Linked DNA regions of Lepisosteus oculatus. The protein of the gene in region 1 binds, or shares a complex with, the protein of each later gene. Links are inferred from orthologs where the notes say so. Each region holds a gene or a part of one and is shown in the gene's direction. Other genes may lie near its edges.

Region 1 (7,813 bases):
TTAATTAACTGCTGCTCACCTGTATGTGTCTGAACTGCTCGGTTGCCAATAACGTGGACACAGACAAAGCTGGAAATTAGGTTGTGTGACACACTCCAGTAATAAGCATTCCTATTAAACATTAATTATGCATGGGTTTAATTGAGAAGGGAGAGTGTTCTGATAATCAGTTCCTGGTACAGCGTTAATGCCAATTCTAGGTCCAATTACTCTGTTAAATTCTGAAATGGGTTATGAATAGGTCTATCCAAGGAAATACTGTAATCATTGGATAGGTTCAATTAGCCTGAGAATAGGCAGTGGACTGTAGGGACCTACCCTTCATCAGACAGATGATCCCACCTCATCGGCGCACTGGCGTTCCCTGTGTCATCAGCCCCAGGCTCCCAGTCCAGTCCCTTGTGTTCCAGTTTGTTTCACCTTCGATCCCAGTCACGTTTCACCAAGAACAGAGCAACATTCCAAAACTGCTGCTGGTTCACATGCATCACCCTGGAATTTGAGGAGACTTGTTTTTCCCCTTGTGACCTGCTGTTTTAACTTCTACCGACTATCGAATTCAAGACAAATCTATTTTCCAACAACAAACATTTAACTTATTTTTTTCTCACCAGCAGATCCTTCATGTCAACACTATGCAATTTGATATGATTTTATAACCTGTTTTGATGTGAAAAAAATGACTTTTTGATTTAAAAGCAGCATGGTTTATATCTAAAACAGAATATTCAACCAGACAGTACTTCTAATTTCGCCAATTACTTTTTTATTTAATTGCAATTACAATTACATTTTCGAGATGGGAAGTTTGAAACTTCCATATGGAAAAAAAATATTTTATCACATTCCGTGCAGGAAGCAATAGATGCTTTGCTTCCTGTCTGCAGATCCGTAAGTAATATTTGTAAAACAGAAGAAAGAGCTAGGTGATATCATCTATGTCTCTGCACTGCCACAGCTGGTCTTGCCTGAGGCTCTGTTGGCATTTTGCACGCGTAGCGTGGGTGATGGGAAACAGATTCCAGGAGACTTTTTGTTTGTGTTTTTCTTTACCATGTAAGCTGAATCAATCCGGGGAATAGCCTTACTGTGTCTACGAGTTTCAGAGGGAAAACTGCATTCCTGAAAGTGTTTCCCAGATGATATCAGCCGCATGCCCTCGCACAGAGCCATGCATGGACTTGAGGCTGTGACTGTCTGATTGCTCTGTCTGGGTATTTGAATGGAGCCTGATTTTCGCACAGTGGAGCCCTGAGGGTAGAGTCCTCCCCACAGGTGTATCTGATACCCCTACAAGCCTCACGATACCTTGTGATCCATTGGCAACAATGACAGAGTGTCGTTGAAAGAGTAATGTGTCCAGGAGTAGTGTAGATATTCATACAGCTTTACAGCTTATTATTATTGTTGTTGTTTTATTCTCTTTTTGTGTGTGCATTAATCTTTCTTATTAGATGTCAGTGATCGACTCATTCCTAACACTGTGATTCTCAACAGCTATACTGTGATATTTTGAATGCCTGTAACAGCACCAAGGCAAAGACTTTATGACAAAAGACATTCACTCCACTGGAATGTTGGAACAATGTGGCAGCAGAGATGTGTTCAAGAACAAGCTTTATCTTCTCTAGGTTATATTTCATTCCCAGGTTCAGTGTTTTGTTTCGAAAGGCTGCTCAACTCAGGTGCCCAGAGAGAGAGTTTGAATTTATAGCGCAGTGCGGCACTTAAAGGGACATTGAAAGCCATGAATTCTGATCTCATGTGTAAACACAGTGCAAGCTGTTGAATAGGCCACTTGTCAAGATAAGCAGTAATTTGCAAAGTCTTTGTGTAATTGAAAAGCAAACAGTAATGGGAAGATGTTGTCCTGTTATGCACTGCTGGGGGGCTTGATTGCTCTGGACAGGCCCGAAAGTCATCAGGAGGCTGGCAGGGGTGGACTTGTGGGAGAAGGGGGTGAGAAAGATCTGTCTGTGCTTTAGGTGTGTTTGCATTTTTATTAAAAACACACAACTTCTTTAGTAAACCCAAACTGGAAAAGCTACAGCTTATTCCTGAGGCATGCACCAAAGTGTGTTACTGCACATTGACATATGCTAGCTATTCATTGAAAAGACAGCAACTCTTCCGTTGAAGTAGGATGCGTTTTTATATGCTGAATATCCTTGAAAAGCTTTTAAACTGTTACTATTAAAGGGTTGCTCAGCTGACTGTAATGTTGGCAACTTTATGTTGGTAATGTTGTGTGGGAAACTCGTGGCTTTGGGTTCGATAAGCCAGTGGTGTCCATTAGGATACATTCTGCTGATTGTAACCAGAATCCCTGGTAAAATTGTTTGGAATGTTATTCGTCACCATAGCAACACTGTGGAGCTCCAAGGTAATGGATATGTAACTCCATTTCAGAAGAATGCCAGTAGCTATCTTTTAGATGACGTCATTCATCTCTGTATGCAAGATTCATAAAAGACAGTGAATTTGTGAACGACAGTGAAGTAATTGGCTTCATCGTCCAGCTGATACTCTCTTTAGTAAATAAATGTCAGGTATTCAATTTGGAAAACCCATCTTTGCATGTCGTAATGCTGTTTTGGAATGAGAGCACACCACCATTTCCTGTCTTATTCAAATTCATTTATAGTGTCAAAATCCTTTTCAGATCCTTTAGACATGCTGTACAATCAATATAGTGTTTCTGTGATGCACTTTAATTAACTCTTTCATGAGCTGTTATACTAGAGACGGTCATGTAATAGTTGAGAAATGTTTGAAATAAACAAGTTTTGTGAAGTGGCCAAATAAATAATTTCCAACTGACGTGTTTTTTTTTTCTTAAAGGGGAAAGGGTAATATATTGCATTCTTAATTTAACCAGTAAAAATATATTTTTTAATATAACAAACAGTGCTGATGTAGTGATGTGACCACGAACGTTTATAGCCTATTGCTTTGTGATTTATATTTATCTGTCTCCTGCAGTTACAGATTCAGTGTTGGAAACTTTTCCCCCCAGAGTTCACTCCGAGAGGGCTGCCTGAAGATGCAGCAATACGTCTTTGTTCACCAGCAGCAGCTGGATCGGACAGGTTGAGCCGTGGTTTTTGGAGAAGCAGGCCGATGATGACACGCTGGGAGAGTCAGCCCTCTCATGTCCTCTCAGCACAGATTCATTACAAAAGCTGTTCTAATCGTAGTGTACTCTCCCGGTACACTTTTTTGTTTTGTAAATAATCCACAGATAATTCTTTAATTCTATACAATAATACCAACAACTACATGCATTTTTCTAGAGCATTTCACCACGAACATATGGGCAGCACACAGCAGCCACTCTGCATCTGCTGGACAGGTGAGAAACGACCGCACTCAGTGAGTTAAGGAGGACATCTAGGGAGGCTAGATTGATCTGTCTCTGGAGCGCCGGTGTGGGTTCTCTTCAGTCCTGCTCTTGTGAGCCACACCCAGTCATTGGCTAAACCAAGCACCTCGATTTCACATCCCAGCTGGAAGAGGACACCTGCTCCTGCACATCGCTCCAGGTCACCAGACTGGGCCCCGGATGGGAGATTCCGGTCGAGAGGAAAGTGCGCCACCTGCTGGTCGGCCAACACCGCTTGCAGAAGTGACCCTCCCTCCCCCCGAGAAGCCTGCCAGCTCCTCACTGGGGAGGCCCAGCTCTGGAGATCAGCCTGAGGGTGGCAGTGCTGCTGTATGGCATCCTGGCATTTCCCACCTGACCAAAGGAAAAAGCTGAAGGAGAGGTTCCCACACTTTGGGATTGAAAGTTTTCACGGTAGAAGTTTGTATCTTAAAGTCAGCCAGCAGCCATGTCACCCTGCAGCTCAGCAGGTGTGAGCCTGGTCAGTATCTGGATGGGAGACCTCCTGGGAGGAGCTAAGGTTGCTGCTGGAAGAGGTGCTCGTGGGGCCAGGGGGGGGCGCTCTCCCTGCAGTCTGTGTGGGTCCTAATGCCCCAGTATAGTGACGGGGACACCATACTGTAAAAGAGGCCTGTCCTTCGGATGAGACGTAAAACCGAGGTCCTGACTCTCTGTGGTCATTAAAAATCCCAGGGCGTTTCTTGAAAAGAGTAGGGGTGTAACCCCGGCGTCCTGGCCAAATTTCCCATTGGCCCTTACCAAATCATGGCCTCCTAATAATCCCCATCTATGTTGTGGCTTCATCACTCTGCTCTCCTCCCCACTGAGAGCTGGTGTGTGGTGAGCGTTCTGGCGCACTATGGCTGCCGCCACACCATCCAGGTGGGGGTGCACACTGGTGGTGGTGGAGGGGATCCCCATTACCTGTAAAGTGCTTTGAGTGGAGCGTCCAGAAAAGCGCTATATAAGTGTGAGGAATTATTAAAGTCATTTTAAAACAAGTGTAAGGTTGATAGTGTAAGTCTAAAAGTAGACAACACACAGACAGAGAGAGAGAGCAATATTTGGCTAAGGAACAAGTAATAGGTTTATTCCCTGCTGAAAAGAGAAGGAAGAAAACAATACTTTGGCTGTGGAGCCTTCTTCAGGTAAATTGGATAATTGGATATTAAATCCGATAATCATTTGGATAATTCCATCTTGATTTGACTTGTAGATAAGACATTTGAGTTTACAGCAGAGCAAAGAGCTCTGGAGAGACCTCCCTCTGTGTGTGTGTGTGTTTGAGTCCTGCTCCGTTAGTGCCCCCGTCCAGCCCGAACTGCCCCCACTGGAGGTGCTCGCTGCCGTCCTGTATAACCCCACCGCAGGCCGGGGGAAGGAGAGCACAGGTCAGCACGATCACACGGGCTCTCAGCCCGGGCCGCAGCCCAGCTCAGAGGCTTCCTGTTTACTCTGGAGATCCTTCCCCCACCGTGAAACCTGAAGCAGCCCCGAGCCGCTTCGGTCTCCTGCACTGGAATCCACGACATGTGCCGTGGCGATTTCCGCGGCGATAAACACGCCGGCTCCCGCGCTCCGCCACGTCCCAACCCGCTCAGCCTTTCCGCTCCGCAGCTGCGGGTCCGAGCCGGACCGGACCGGGCCGGACCCGACCGCGGCCGCCGCTCACCGTGCCTGGTCTGGACTCGACGCCGGCAAGGTATGCCGACGAATCAGATCGATCGATTCGTTACAGTTGGGCTCAGCTGGAGACCGTCTTCCTAAAGATTGAACGTTTGCCGGAACATCCAGCGTTTTCCGCGATCACTGCGATTTTAAGGATCCTGACGAAGACTGGTCTTTAACCCCCCTCCGGAAAACAAACAAAAATCAAAAGAAAAGTATGTTTCAATAGCACACAGCTTCGCATCTTGGCGCGGTCCCTGGCATCTGCATACATACGGTAGATTCACACAGGAAACACCTCCTGGCCCGTGGAGACTCGCCGCGCGATCTCCGACACACCGCTTTCCGAAGCAGCTCCGGGAGGCGTCAGGTTTCCGAATTTCACACGCCTAGCCTTTTGCGAAGCAACGCGCATTAAAAAAAATCGGGCTGTTTTTGCGACAGTTGAGTGGGGATTGGGAAATATACGCGTCTTTGGGGTTCCAATTTTTTTTTGGGGGGGGGGGGGTCTGATTTCAAAGACTCTGGTCAGCTCTACACCTTGTTGTTGTTGTCCGCTGTAGAAAAGTGGCTCCACGCGCTCCTGGCTGGCCGGCCGGCTGAGCCCCCCCCGGTCTGCAGTCGGCACGCACCCCGAGGTCTCCAGCTGCTGCGCATTCCGGAGCTCGAGGGAGAGCGCGAGGGAGCAGCGCGGGCGGCGCAAGCGGACCGGCACCCGGCGCGCAGGGCTGCCCCCGGGGGCGTAGTGCGATGCCTCAGCGGCGCCGGACATCCCGCATCCCGGACTCCTGCCTGACACGGACAACTTTTCTGCGTGCGTGCGCACTTGCGCATCTGGATTTCTGACTGTTCTGGTCTTTTCCTTCTCCTGCTCGCTCCAAAATCCAAGAGCAACCACAACAGCAAGAATGCCTGACACTGACAGCTCCGTTTCCAAAACGGTAAGTCGCTATATGTTACCCGAGCAGGTCCTCAGAAGAGAATTGCTCTATCGAATTACGAACTGACCCCGTGGAAACGAACGGCTTTAAAAAAAAAAAAAGATTGATACCATAATTTTTAAGTTTGCAGTGGTGCATTTTTGTTGTCTTGTTTTTTGTTGATAGGTTAAAAGTTGAAGAAACGGTTGAAAGGTGTCCTTTATTGGGGTTTTTTTTGCGTGTTATCTAAAACTGGTTATTATGTTGGTGGTATGTCGTTAGGTATTGCATGCCGCTGTAGCCCAGACCAGGTCAGTTAGACGAGCCTCAGCGCGATGAAAGTCTGCTTTGTTGTGTCTGGAGCGCCTGTCACATGCGCCAGAGCGTGCATAATTAGAATTCCTCCGGAGCGCGGCTCAGGGGCGGACAGGGTGTCGGGGCGCTACAGAGCGCTGCAGGTGGGGCACAGGGACTTGGGCTCTACACCCGGCTCTGCTCCCTGTCAGATGTCAGGTGTCCGCGAAGCGCCGATCCACAATCGCCCATCTGTGCGATTCCACCCTCTCCCGAGCCGCAACCCACATTCACTTCACCCATAGCCTCAAGCGGGCATTTTCACATGGTAAGTTTCTGGTCTTCTTGTAAGTAATTATCCTGTCAGTCCACACTCGCGAAATAATTGAGCAGAAGCAAAACGTAATGGATAGCTTACTGCACATTCCTTGGAAGATATGCGAGCAAGCGATATCTCTGTTTCGACGATATCTCTGGCGACTGCGACAGTGCTGAATCTTTTAAAGGACCTATATTCAATTGTGAGGCTTTTTGAGGTGTTGTAAAGGACCTCACTGAAGGTGAAGTTCCTTTGATGGTTCAGGACCTGAGCTGAAACCTTGAATTCCTTCTGCCCTTCATTGCTTATCGTCACTGTGTCCAGCTCTGCTTTTACAAACGTCTCTGCCACCTGCTGTCATGCGTACAGCAGTGCGGTCATTGTTTTTTCAGATCGTTATTTCCAACCTATTAGACTGTTGGCTTTACTAGTGTGGTGGGCCGTAGGCAGATTTTGGGATTGCAGTGCTAAATGTCCTAAACCGGCACTGCTCTTGAATAGAGGACAGTTGTGCTCTAGCTGTTCATTAATATTAATAGATCTCACATCGAGCCTGAAGGCTGCTTGTGTGTGATTCAAGACATACAGCTGGACCCCAGCGGTTTCTGAGTGCAGAAAGACAACACAGGTGAGCTCCTACTGCCTGTATAGGGATTACTGAGTTCCCACAGACAGACTGGACCTCCACCAGATCTTTGGGCATTTGGTTTAAATTTGCTGGAGCTGATGAATACCTCTTCATTCTGTTTTGGCTCTCCATTACGCCACTTGTGATAATAACTTAGAGCGTTACAGCCTGCTTCCAGTTAAGGTGCTTTCAAGCAGAGCCCAAAAAGTAAATGTTAAGGGATCTAACATGCAAGGGAAGTCTTCCCCTGACTTACATGCGGTAGGAAAAGGAAACACTTTGAGGTCAAAGATTATCCAGTGTTAATTGAATTTTTTGAACATTTTCCTTTGAAAAATGAAAATGCAACTACTCTACCACTCTTTTCATTTAAAGAGATGTTCTGCCCTGTGTAAAAATTCCCTGTGAAGCAAAACAAAATCAATACACAGATATGGAACAATTTCAGCTGTTACAATTCACAGTAGTTTTACTTTTTGTAATTCCACATTTAATCAAGTTGTAAGAACATTTACAGGAAAGGTCCTCAAGTGTCTTTTCAGCAGAAACACTCCTGCTCCCTGTTCACTCAATGTGAAAAAAAGTACGTAGAATAAACCTTG
Region 2 (7,386 bases), on another chromosome or scaffold:
ACCCTCTTGGAGTCATCTACACAGGCTTTAACTTTATACATAAGAGGATGATTATCATCCACAAACCCTGAACACTGTACAACAAATTCTGTTAGTAATGCGATACCATTGCTGGGGATCACTTGGCAGTTTCCCATCTTAGGAGGTTCATTAACACTGAAGAAATACCTCTGCATGCTTGAGAGTCCACTCCTTGTGCTTACTTTGACCTGCAACTCAAATGTGCTGCCTATGCTCTTCTGAAACACAAAAGCGTTTATTGAAAGGTATTTGTTAAATCTTCCTGTTGTAGTGTTGGCTGCCCAATCAATTGCAATTTCAGTTGCATTTTTACCAGCCAATAAATACCATTCAACGTTGGGCTGGCTGTCAGTGCTACAGGAAATGCAAGCACAGGAAAGCACAAATCTATTTGACGGGTTCAGCAATTGATCACAGTTCTCAATGCAGTAGAGTTGAATTTCAGGCTGTGGTCCAGGTAAAACATTTATTGCTTGGTTAAAATGACTCTCCCTGCCATCTTTTTGAACTGATAGACGAAAATGATATACAGCACCTCCTTTCAACAATTCAGGCATGATTTCAACTGTAGCTTTTGATGATGGTGGCCATCTGATTTCAAACTGGTCCGGGTGACATGCGTTATTCGGAGAGAGTGTCATAGCCTCAAGATCCATGGGTTTCCTTGAACAGTACCATGAGAAATGGAGACCGTCAAATGGGTTCATTACATCAGGGTCGGCAGACAGTGAACCATTCAATACCAAAGTTGCATTAAAACCCACAGTTCTGTATGAGCCTCCTTTAATGACAGCTTTCAGAGGGCTTTTCATTACATCCACAAAAAGTGAATCAGTATTGGTTACATTTAGATTTGAATTTTGTATAAAGACGCTGACCGTAAGATTCATCATGTACATGCCATACTCTAGAGAGCATTTTGGGATGTACAAGAAGGATTTGCTAGCTGAGGAAATGAATGGTGCTGCCAGAGGATTTTCCCATTTTGGAACTGAACTGACACCAGCGACTCTGTATATTTTCCAGATGAATGTAGTCTGCAATACACAAGAACAGTATACTGCCACTGAAGAGTAAACAGTAAACTGGAGAGATTTTTTTACAGGTATAACAGGAGGGTCTGGTTTCCTCAAAAGTACCTTCAAGCACCCACTGGTCTTCCTACTGAAGCATGCCAGGGACCTTGCAATTTTTACAGGACGGTTTCCAAATGTCACCGTTAAAATTAGGGGCTTTTCTCCACTGTCAAAACAAGTCACATTGGCAACAAAGCCCACGTAATTTACAGCCGCCCATGATGGCTCGGCACCTGAAAGAAAGGTGAGGACATTTGGATGTTGGTCAGAGTAAGAATACGTGGAAGTGAGTGACGTTCTTGAGGCACAGAGCACCTGCAGCTTGAATGTCCATTCACACTGCAGAAGGGGATGCTGGGTGGGCACAAACCAAACTGCATGCTGTGTAAAGTCTAGATGTGGCGCCGGACTGTTATACAGGTACAGGTCAAAGCCACTCCCAAATTCACCCACAGATTTGTACAGGCTGTCCCGTTTGTTCACATACGTTTGCACACTGACAGTATAACGCTGGTCCCAGGAGAAGCAGAATTTGATCAAGTGCAGGAAGATTTGCTGTTGGATGAAGATGATGTGCAGTACATTATTAACCCTACTATCCTGTTTGTAGTAGGAAAAGTCATCAGAATTGCTGAAAAAATACAGGACGGTCCGGTTAGTTTGAAGATCAAAGGTCAGTTTGGTGTAGGTTGTGTTCAGAGTGAGTTCGGCAGTGCCACTTGAAAATCTGATGGCGCCACTGAAATTGCCTAAGAAAGCGGTCTTCTGCAGCACAATGTCGGTGAGCAGGAGGCTGTTTGATCTCCTACTATTAAAACAAGAGGTTTTTCTCAAAACATAGCTGCTATAGTCTACAAGCCAGGTTCTGTTGGTTTCACTGGCTTCCAATTGGTAACTGACAATGTTCTGAATGTCTGATGCTTTCCAGAAAACATGAAATCTTTCATTTAGACTTAACACTTCACTCTTTGCATTATAAATAGGGATTAGCCCTGATTTTACCTGAATGTCAAGGACAAAGATATTTCCTTCACTGATTAATTTAGCCCTATACGTGCCCGGCTTGGGGTAAGTCACTTCTACTATGTAGTTATAGTTATTGGAGCATCTGCCTTTCAAGTGAACAGGGACACTAGTGGTGTCAATTATAACATACCAGTCACTCTGTATCATTTTCTGTGAGGGAGTCCCTCCTGGGGCTTGAAACATGTAGGTCCATAATGGGCTTTTCATCTCAGCACACCAACCAATCTGCACTTTGTCAAAATCGTACAGTGGAGCTGGAGACAGTAGGAAAAAATCAACCTGTTGGTCGATCACCCTTATGGTCAGATTTTTAAATCGGCAGTCTGTCGGAGGGCAGGAAGACACGGTGCAGGACGTCACGGTGATTACCTGGATGTCTGGAGCCAACGTGAGAGTCCCGGACCAGTGGTCAGTGCGATGAATTAATCCTGCAGCGTGGTCCCTCCAGTCACAGGTGGGAGGCTGCAGTGCGTCGGCTTTTATGTTCTTGCATGAGCTGAAGCGGATCTGCGTGCTCTGTCGGCGTCGGCAGGTGACGAAAACGTCCGTGTCGGCTCTGCTGTGCACCTCCCCGTCCTCGTCCGCACACCTAATCTCAAAGGGGGGCGAATTGAAGCCAGGCTGTGAGAGGACACGGGCGTAAAACAGCAACAGCATACAGCACCACGTCAAGGTAGAGGTCATTGTATTTTTGCCTTTATCACAGTTCGGTTTTGAAAGAGATTTGCTTACAGGTAGGGGATGCCGTTAATTTTGAATTGGGAAAAAGGTGGCCACGAGCTCGTACAGTAGGTCACACCTGAGCAGACAAGAGCGCAGCGCGACCTCTTGAGACTGATGACGCACGTTAGGATGCTCCTTCAGTTCGCCGAGTGAGGAAAAGACCGCACAACACACGCAGTAACAACGTATTAACATTAAATTAAATTAAATTCGGTCTAAAGTTCCCATTTTTGGGGTACATCTCCTCGTTTTAAGTTTCTTTGGTAAGCGCAAAGTTGGAAAGGGAAAAGAACGACGTTATGTACAGTAGGTAATATATATTAGGCTTGCGAAAGAGGGAGAGAATACATTGAATTAAGCTCAGTTTTTACCCGGTCTTCACGATTGCATATGGAAAAAAAAGAGAAAAGCTTTGCAAGTGTATTCCTGTTTTAGTCCATTCGTCAATCACTTCTTCAGCTTTTGCTGGCCACTCCTCAGGATGGGGTTTCATGCTCGGTCTTTTTCAAAAACTGCAGAACCTCGCTTCCACCCCCACCTTATAACATAAAAAACAAGAAACTTCCATGTGAACCTTTACTTTTCTGAATACCGTCCACCAGGCCCTTCAAAAAGGTTTGTACAATTTAATCTTATTTTTTTTCTGTTTCACTTGTATTTTACTAATATACCCCCACCATTATTTAAATCCTACATAGCTCGATTCAAAACTGTATAGTGCTATTTCTTCTTATTACGGTTATTAACCTTATTAATTCACCCAGCTTAAATGACCAGTGGACTCGGATCAACAGAAGACAAAAGAAACGTGTAGCTTACTGACCATCGTCATAAAATAAGCTCCGGAAACCAAAAAAGAAAATACAGTAATTGAAAGAACGTACAAACCACAGCAATTCTTCCCTCAAAAAAATAACCTTTTTAATTAAAATCCAATACTCCACATAATTTTGGTTTCTTCAGCTGCAGTCTACCACGAGTCATGTCAGGTTATGTACATGTTTATTTTCTCTAGAAAGAAAAGCCCACTTATTTGCATTCGTTTTCAGTTTGGGCCATAAAACCGATTATTTTCTTTTTCTATTAATCAGCTTAGCCTAATGCATAGTATAAATGCACATATTCATATTAAATTCAATATTCATAAAGTGGCATCACATTTTCAGATTCCATGTTCAGAGAAACTATAGGGATTTTCCAGTGACAAGCACATCGTAACCATCCATACCCAATGCATACTTGTTTCACATTATGTATTAACGGAAATATAAACAGTAGAGAACACGACTGTTTCTGTGCATAGGTGTACATTGGGTTTAAACAAATGTGGAAGTCTATAAACTGTCAGTTCCCTTAACTTCCCTTCCAGTCCAGTTTTTTGCCAGCAGCGTTCACTGGGTGACTAGAGTCTTCTGTGCCTGTTTCTTCTTTTTAAGCTCCGCCTGGATTTGCTGGGGAAACTCTTCCAAGTGCTCCCTGACACAGGACAAGCAAAAGCGCTTTGTGTAGAACAGGCTGCACTCCTGGGAAAGAAGCACCAGAGGTCAGCTCCATGGGTGGTTTTTAACAGTGGCTTTTTTTGTCCTGTATTTTCTATAAGAATTAGATTCTTGATGAATATAAAATCAACACTGCAAAAGAGAATAACCTGCCAATCACTACGATGTGGTCTGTAACCTCAGAAATGTGTCCCCGGGAGCATTACCCTCTAATGCCAAAAACGGATATACACAAAAAGTTTAAAAGTACTGAAACTCTTCAGTGCTGAAAATAGAAGAATAGAGGTGCAGATACACCACATCCTGAAGGTACTGACAAAGTCAACCTAATACATTACTTCATGCTCAAAAATGAAAGTGGGACACAATCAATAGAGAAAAACACAGACACGTTTTTACACAAAAAGTGGTTGGTGTCTTGAATAAGGTGCCTTGTCATGTCGCTAAAACTGGGGTCTTTCAAGAAAGTGGAGTATGAAATCCTATGATCCATAAGCTACCAGCACCCTAACACATTGGGCTGAATATCATCTTTTAGGCAGCAACATTTTGTAAGTTATAGGATAAATGAGTAAATGGATGAAGACATACGGCTACATATTGAACATAACAGCTACGTAATTAAAAAAAATATATTTAGTTTTTGTGTGCAGTATTTTTTTAAAAGATAGAACTACCAATTATTTTTGGTGTACCGTTCCAATTTGGAATAATCAACTATGTGATTTCCATGACACAGCTCTGAGCTACAATCCCAGTAATTGCACACATTCCTCTCCTAACATATCACAAGCAAAACTCTGTTGAGCCTAAAGAAAGATCTGGGTTCAGCCCCTCTCAGAAATCTGAAATAAAGCACTCAATTAGATCTCCCCTAAAACGTCTTTGTTAAAAACAAGTTAGATTTCCAATTATGTTCTTTTAAACTCTCCACACATTAAAACGTTTCTCAGGTGACATTCATTTTTCAATGTGGTGGCCAGATATGAACACTGTTCAAGTCATCCAAATGCTCAAGACAGTCTGAGCATGACTTTCAGTCCTGCATGGTGATTTCAGCAGTTTCTACTATATAGCCAAGCGTAGTCCACCTGTATCTACAGTAGCTACTCTGTATACAGCAGCCAGTTCCTCTTTTCCCATTAGAAATTAGATTTAATTGAAAAGTTAACCTACAAAGCTGCGGTTAAAATCTGAATGGTAACCATATTCAGGAATAAATTCAGGAAAACGTTTCTGTGATTTGATTGTTCACTCATAAGGGTCAATTCAAAGACACAATATTTAGTTTCCTCTCACATGCTGTTCCTCTTAGAGCAATTCTAGAAAAATCAGTAAACGAAAATCCTGTTTAAAGTCTGGTGAAAAGGATTTAACGAAAGGTCATTCTCATAATACATAAAACAAGAAACATTGGCTGAAAATATCCCAACGGCACCTCTTCAAAGTACAGCATAGGAAATGAATATTAGCTTCCCTCAGTATTATTTACACTTAAAAGGCTATTGAAACGTACCGTCCCAACACAAACGGTTTTGCCGCACAGACTGCAATGTGATCCTAAAACCAAGAATTTCTCCTTGTTGGGACTAAAGGGATCCTTCGTTACAAAGCACTCCTCCAGAAGACTGTGGAAAAAAAGACACAAAGTGGCATTGGCAAAGCAAAAAAACACCCACAACAAACCAAGTGAAGTTCATAGCTAAACTGTGTAGCTAAAAAACCTGCACTTTCGGGAAGGAGCTACAATTACTCTGCACTTTTGATATGTAGCACACTAAAACTGTCCTTATATGTTCAAATCCATTGTACCCGCATTTTGTTACAATTTTATTGTCACAGGAAAAAAAGCATTGTAAGAATATTCCAATATACAGCACTTTACAATCAATGAAATGCATGCTGGTTTTTTGAGTGAAGTCTGTCATATCCAGTACATTTATTTACCATCTGATTCTCAGTTTGACAGAACTTGTGACAAAATTGATGCAGAAAACTAGCCACCAGCATTATCTCTACAAAACATTTGTTTTAGTCAAGTTTCTTGAGGGCTGAATTCTAGCTCACTAGAACTTGGGGAAAGTCTTTATCACTGCTCCTTGAAAGGTGAAAGAAGCACTTCAAGTAGGGGAGAAACAACTGTTGCAGCATATCTCATACAGATAGAGTAATGGACCCCTGAAGGAAGATAGGTAATACTGTATCCGTTTTTAAGGAGACTGTGGAAAATACCAAAGCATTTAATTCAAGTACATGTACCTTACAGCTATACTGTACTGTATGTCAACAGGCCTTCAGGTTACCTACTGTTTCTTATACTTACACAATGGCCCTGGTGTTGGGTGGCTTCTGCCCATAATATGTATAAGAAGCTGAGAAGTCACAGAATTTACAGGTAAACCGTCTCTGTGACTGTCCATCTTTGTCCTCTTCCATCTGGAAGGAGATACAAAAAAAAATACTCCTTACCACAGCCTCCCCAAAAAGAACTTGCACAGCACTTAAGTACACATTTGCCTTTCCTCTCTGATGTTAGATCTTAAATTTATCTTTAACATTTGTGAATAATAATGTTAATTTTCACACAGTGCATAGTCTGCATGAAAGGAATCTAGGTGTTCTTGCAGATTCTTATATGTCTTCATCACATCAAAGTGGGGAATCAAAATCAAACAGCATGTACAGGTATATAGCAAAAGTGTGACATTTAAAGCCAGGGACGTTATGCTCAAATTTAGAATGCACTAATAAATCCTCATTTAGGATATTGTGTTCCGATTTGGTCATCTAGGACAAAAGGCTCCTGTATTTATAGGTTTGAAAACAGTTCACAGGCAAGAAACAAGAAAGATTCTGATCTCTGGGTCTGTCACAGACAGGCTAAAGTACACAAAAGACACACTGATAAAACAAGTGATAAACGTATATGATCTGTAACCAATCTCTGTGCTCTCCACAACAGATGGCACCCGAGTACACCAGAAGTGCATCAGACTGAGACGTGCATATTCTTTGTCAAACGTCCTCTCTAATATTACTGC

The links.
Region 2: phldb2b (region 1) and erc1b share a complex: the UniProt entries of both Homo sapiens proteins name them as parts of the cortical microtubule stabilization complex. The link is inferred for Lepisosteus oculatus from reciprocal best matches to the Homo sapiens genes PHLDB2 and ERC1.

The regions. Positions count from the first base shown.
Region 1 is NC_090700.1:5,141,388-5,149,200, forward strand, and holds the start of phldb2b (pleckstrin homology-like domain family B member 2), read left to right. Parts: upstream 1-4,752; 5' UTR 4,753-5,265; exon of another isoform or gene 5,266-5,613; 5' UTR 5,614-5,958; coding exon 5,959-5,991; intron 5,992-6,386; exon of another isoform or gene 6,387-6,589; coding exon of another isoform or gene 6,590-6,592; intron 6,593-7,813. UniProt on the Homo sapiens protein: Seems to be involved in the assembly of the postsynaptic apparatus. May play a role in acetyl-choline receptor (AChR) aggregation in the postsynaptic membrane.
Region 2 is NC_090702.1:7,102,998-7,110,383, forward strand, and holds the start of erc1b (ELKS/Rab6-interacting/CAST family member 1), read left to right. Parts: upstream 1-4,369; 5' UTR 4,370-4,389; intron 4,390-5,861; coding exon of another isoform or gene 5,862-5,973; intron 5,974-6,668; coding exon of another isoform or gene 6,669-6,781; intron 6,782-7,386. Other genes in the region: polycystin family receptor for egg jelly, read right to left, coding at 1-677; cdpf1 (cysteine-rich DPF motif domain-containing protein 1), read right to left, coding at 4,238-4,369, 5,862-5,973, 6,669-6,781. UniProt on the Homo sapiens protein: Regulatory subunit of the IKK complex. Probably recruits IkappaBalpha/NFKBIA to the complex. May be involved in the organization of the cytomatrix at the nerve terminals active zone (CAZ) which regulates neurotransmitter release.